Kluyveromyces lactis: one gene and its partner. The protein of the gene in region 2 purifies or fractionates together with the protein of the main gene of each other region. This does not show direct contact. Links are inferred from orthologs where the notes say so. Each region holds a gene or a part of one and is shown on either strand. Other genes may lie near its edges.

Region 1 (3,440 bases), on a different chromosome or scaffold from region 2:
TCGACGAGTTTGCTCAGTTGATGATGGATTCCGGGTTATTGTTGAACGATGAGGTCACGTGGATCAGTTACCATGCAGCATACGATTACGGGTTCTTAATCAACAGGCTCATGAACACAAACATGCCCAACAACAAAGAGGACTTCGAATGGTGGGTTCAGAAATACATACCAACGTCGTACGATTTGAACCTAATTAACAAGTTAGTTCATGAGGTAACGCAACAACACCCACATCCACCACCATTACATCTATTACAAAGTCAACAGCAACAGCAACAAAACCAACAACAGCAATATACACTAGAACTACTGGCTGACGAGTTGGGGATTCCGATCTTCCCATTGTTCAGCAGCGCAGCGGGACAAAGTCTCTTGGCACTATTGGCATACACCCAACTCGGTAAATTGTCTTTGTACAAACTACGCAATGGAACAGATTTCAGTTACTACAAGAACCTGATCTACGGAATCACACAGGAGTAATATATGTGATTTTTATGTGCCAGCCTTTCATATAGAGTATCATCAATAATGCATTTATGTATGTGAATATATATATATACATACACAATCATTCTTAAAATAGGGTATAAAAGGTGGCTGACTAGCCACCGTCACTGAACTGAACTGATGCTGACCAGTGCGAAACCCACAGGTTGCAAGAGCGCAACCTGTGTACTTCATTCACCTGGCATCTCGTGAGGCATGATTTCATAAGATGATTGACGAGTTTTCCATTAAAAAATTTTGAAAATTGACTCTTTACATATAATCACTAGATGCAAACATGCACATACTTTGCTTGTGAGGGGCGTTTCTTGTTGTTAGGGTGTCTATTTGGTTCGCTTATCGGTTTTCATGCATTCATTAGAAACCAGACTTTAATCTTTAGCGATAAGTTTGAAGCGTGAGGCACATATACGGTGTTCGTAGTGCTGAAATTTCCCGTGAGTCTGGAAAAAAGCACCCATAGGAAATTAATACTTTTTTGTTATTGTATTCTAGTATACCCTATACTTTCCTGCTTGAATATCCACCGTTAATACACTTGGATTAAAACGTTGTTAGAGCGTTATTAGAGCGTGCTTTTCCCTTCTTTTTTTTTTTTTTGTTTGACAGTTTTATTTTTAATTCATTCAAAGGTCTTTCTGATTGACAACGATTGACTGTATTGCATTCATTTCATACACTTTAGCATTCCAATTTGATTTTTTGATACCCGCGATCGGTTTGAAATTGAGAGTTATCAAAGAATAGTTGAATTCTTTTACAAGAACCAGTGTGTTTTTTCCTGTTTAGATTAATTTGATACAATCACATTTGGTTTGGAAAATATGACCACTTACGATGTGAAAGAGATCGGATATGCGTTCCTAAGGACGTACTATGAACGTATGCATAATGATCCATCGAAATTGTCGTGTTTATATTCTACCACGGCGGAATTGACCCATGTGAATTATAATGAACCTATCAAGCATGACAAAGATTATTTAAACACCGTCAAGTTGATTGGTAAGGATAACATCAACAATTTCTTTACCAGAAACAGCAAGCGTGTACAGGATTTGAAGGTCAAGATTGATTCGTGTGATGTGCAATCTACTGGGTACGAGAGTTCTTCGATTCTGATATTGATATTAGGGGAGCTATGCTGGACGGATTCACCATCTTACAGATTTTGTCAGTGCTTTATCCTGGAACCAGCAGAGTATAACAGTAAAGTCTACGATTTGAAAAACGATATCATTCGTTTCATTCCTGACCTTGCTCCATTAGTGAACCCAGACCAGCCAGTATCACCACCATCTGCTGTTGTTGTTGAAGCTGAGAATGAGAAGCCAAATGTCAACGGGGACGCAGCTCCTGTTTCTGTTCCTGTATCTGTTTCTCCAGTAGTGGTAAAGGCAGCAGCGAAACCGGTTGAGATTGTCAAGCCAATTCCAACTGAGAAGCAACAGCCCTCTACTGCTCCAACGGAAACAAAAGTGGAACAACCCCAAGCCGTTTCAGTAAATAAAACTAAACCTAAGGAAAATGAGGCGATTGCGCCAGCTACTGCTCCTGCTGCTATTGCAGAAAAAGAAAAAGAAGACAAGGAAGACGAAGCACAAGCACAACCAAAAGAGCAAGCGACTTCAGCATCAGCCACCCCAACCTCAACGACAACCCGTTCTGAATCGGTGCCCCCACAAGAGGTTCCTGAAACAGAAGTCACCCCAAAGGCTGAACCAGTGAAAATGACTTGGGCAGGCAAACTCAACAAGACATCTAAACTAACTACAAACTACATCAAGGTAGATCTTCCACAAAAGAAGTCTAAAAGTCCACCTCCAAACGGATTCACCAAGTCAAACAAGAAAAGCAAGCAGCAATCGAAACCAATAGGCGACGTTATCATCCAAAACAGCAGCGGTTTCTACCCAGTATACGTGGGTAACACAAATGGGTTGACCGCATCCGAACTTGAAAGAGCTCTAATAAAAGAATACGGTGATGTCGTAAAAACCTCATTCCAAGATTCGTTCGCTGTGGTTGATTTCAGAGAAAAACCTGCAAGAGACGCTGCCATCGATGCTCAACATTTAAAAGTCGGTGAAAGAGTTATTAATTTAAACCCAAAGGGCGATAAAGCTTCTAAGTACAAAGCCAAGAACAACAGCAACAATAGTAATAGTAATTCTGGTAACACTAATCACAACACAAACGGCAACAGTTCACATAATTCCCCATCACCAGAACTCTCGTTAAACCAAGGTAATTCCACGCTTAAAAAGAGCTCAGTGAAATCCCGTAATGACAAATCAAAGAACTAATCTCATGTACTTTAATCGTAAACCCAAATCATCTCAAACCTAAATGAAAGGCGTGATAAAACCATATTATAAAAAAAAAAACCATAAAAAAAATTAACTAAAACGATGAAACTATGAGTCGGGGAAAACTTGTTAAATATATCCGTATGTAACCTATCCACATGTACATTTTATATATTTCCCTCTCACTATAAGCATATCACCGAAACATTATTGTTGTCTTCCCTTTTTGTTCCTTCTTTCTCTAAGTCACAACCCTTTGAAGTTGGTTCGAGCTTGATGAAATTTAAAGGAACAAAGATCTTCATGTGCACATCACAATGATAGAAAAGGTGATTGGCAGAAAGATCAGTGCTGAAGCCAAGGGGACAGGTGAGGAGATACAACTCTAGGGTCATAGAAACCATCAGCTATGTTAGTTCCTCCAGCGAATTTCGGGATTCCCGAGGAAGGTATCTATCGATGCAGTAAACTTGAGACCATTAACCTATCATTTTTGGAGACTTTGAATTTAAATACGATCATATTCATCGGTGGTCAAATCCCGAGTAATTTCTTCAAAGAGTTCTTCGCCACTAACGGCATAGATTACTTTGTCATTAAGACCTCTGGTGATTCGAGT
Region 2 (2,504 bases):
CGGATCATATCCATACTTCTTCGAATTAGTCAATCCAATGTTCAAATATTCTTCTTTCAAAGATAGTACACCCAAATCGTAGAACAACCCCCCGTTTCTGTACTCTGGTAGACCTGTTTGCAAGTCCTTGGAAGATATATTGAACTTGTAGCCAAATTCCTCTAGTGGTCTCAATAATGAATAACATAACCACTGCGTCAATTTATGAAATGACACGATAATTTCATCGTTTTCGGTTTTATACACCCAGCAATCGCCTAAAGGTTCACCGTTCAGAGTTAATCTTCCAGTAGGCCATATAGAGGTATATCCAGTCATTAGAACCTCCCACAACTGTTGCAAATCAATGTTTTCAGAGCCATTTAATTTGTAAAGGTGATCAATTATATTACCAGGCCTGGCATCTTCACCGAATAACTCAGGTCTTTCAGAAAGGGATTTCCCTAAACTTCTGATCAACTGAATTCTACCTTCGTAACCTTGCAAAGAGTTCTTACTACTTATCTGAAACCCTTTATCAAAATCTTGTTGACTGAAGTCTTTCAATCTAGAACCTTGTACTGTCTGAGATTTATCATGCGATAAGGCACCATCTTTGAACATATAGAAAGAGGCCACCGCTAGTCCTTCTGATCTGTTAATCTTAGTTTCTTTCTCAACAAAAGACCATTCTGAACCTGCACCAGCATCGACAATCACACTAAACGTTATCAAATCAATCAACCGTCTGCATACCTCCAAAGGATCGATGTTCTGGGCAGCCCAGGAATTAATGAGAGATCCCATTCTATCAATACCGTTACAGTTTAAATGTTGCCATCTTCCATGAACAGGAATATCGCCTAGGTTCTTGTAATCTCTTTCAATAATATTGACCAAGTAATCTGTCACTTTCGACATTTTACCCAGATCCACTTCAAAATGTGTACTGTCACCATTTTCTGTTTGCAAAGGGGGGCCGTATACTTTCTTACAAGTTTCCCTAACGGATTGAATGGATCTTAAGTACTCCAAGTCTTCGCATTCTGTGTGTGTCATGATAAATAGCCAGTATGTTGGTTTTTGACAGTTTCAACGGGAGATAATATACAATGCCATCAGAATTAGTTTAAGCGAAGTATCAACTGGGATAGAACTATTTCATTCACTAATGAGTGTATTTATATACTTCGTGGATGGTACACATACATTATCCTTAATTCAATCCTAAGTGTATTGGAACGTTAGTTTGCACAAAAAAGGCATTCTTATCTTTTGCAATTGACCTGTTTCGTTATTCTGGCAACGATTGATCCTTAATGTTCAAGAATCTCCGTCGCACCTCCGACGGATATTACCGGGGACTGCTCATTCTTTATACACCCGTACATATATGCCATGGGATTCTACTTTTTTGATATAATCATCCTCTCTTTCCTAAAACAGAATACTATATGAAAATTTCATGATGTTCTATGATGTCGACAAGCTAGTGCTCCGAAGTTGAAATTCTAAGCTCTCCAAGATAGATGAGCATTAGCATGGTATTGTTAAGGTTACTTACAATTAGATATTAAGTCTATTCATGTCATAAGAAACCAATAAAACTAAAAGGTATACACGATGTCTCAAGTTGAAAAGAAATCTGAACAACAACAAGAAGTTGTGATCCACAAGATCAGAATTAACTTGACCTCCACTAAGGTCAAGCAATTGGAAAACGTTTCTGCCAACATCATCAAGAATGCTGAAACTTTCAAGTTGGTCAAGAAGGGTCCAGTCAGATTACCTACTAAGGTCTTGAAGATCTCCACCAGAAAGACCCCTAACGGTGAAGGTTCTAAGACTTGGGATACTTACGAAATGAGAATCCACAAGAGATACATCGACTTGGAAGCTCCAGCTCACATCGTCAAGAGAATCACCCAAATCACCATTGAACCTGGTGTGGATGTCGAAGTCATCATCGCTGCCTAAACGCACCGATAATGATGTATTGTCAATATCAAATTGGCATTCAATGAATAACGGGCAGGAAACTAAAGTGTTGACCAGATTTACTGCACATCCTTTGAGTTTTCTACCGACATACCTTGAATTCAAATTTTTTTATTTTACTTTTATTCGATATCCAGGTCTCAAGAAAGCTCTTGTATCCTCATTCTCTAAGATTATAGTAAGACTCCTATAAAGTATGGTCAATTGTGTTCAATATAGGATGGAACCTTTTTCTGACACTTCAAAAAATGACAACCCACTCTAGGTAGGGTAGTTTATCGTGTACCTCTATTCTACTATCAGTGGTTAAAAAATAATCATATCCTCTACCAACATCTCACTCATATTTGTTTGGTTACTGTCTGGTTTATTGGTTGCTTGAATGAGTAACTTTTTTGTTGTCATGTGTTAGTGCCCTCCATCCTTTGTGTATAATTCGTACATATTTTTTTAATGGAATATGATTTTAATCATGGGACTTCAAAGCAAGGCATTCAAGCTGACAACTCGAAGCAGAGACTTCTGCA

Evidence for each region. Proteins that work in one complex are often made in the same cells at the same time.
Region 1: the proteins of RPS20 (region 2) and BRE5 purify together in Saccharomyces cerevisiae (affinity purification with mass spectrometry; 3 studies listed by BioGRID). This does not show direct contact. The link is inferred for Kluyveromyces lactis from reciprocal best matches to the Saccharomyces cerevisiae genes RPS20 and BRE5.

The regions. Positions count from the first base shown.
Region 1 is NC_006039.1:1,666,692-1,670,131, reverse strand, and holds BRE5 (Bre5p), read left to right. Parts: upstream 1-1,336; coding exon 1,337-2,818; downstream 2,819-3,440. Other genes in the region: CCR4-NOT core DEDD family RNase subunit POP2, read left to right, coding at 1-485; OCA4 (Oca4p), read left to right, coding at 3,231-3,440. UniProt on the Saccharomyces cerevisiae protein: Has a role in de-ubiquitination. In conjunction with UBP3, cleaves ubiquitin, leading to the subsequent mono-ubiquitination of sec23.
Region 2 is NC_006042.1:2,371,118-2,373,621, forward strand, and holds RPS20 (40S ribosomal protein uS10), read left to right. Parts: upstream 1-1,602; coding exon 1,603-1,956; downstream 1,957-2,504. Other genes in the region: KLLA0_F25520g (URC4/urg3 family protein), read right to left, coding at 1-1,038. UniProt on the Saccharomyces cerevisiae protein: Component of the ribosome, a large ribonucleoprotein complex responsible for the synthesis of proteins in the cell.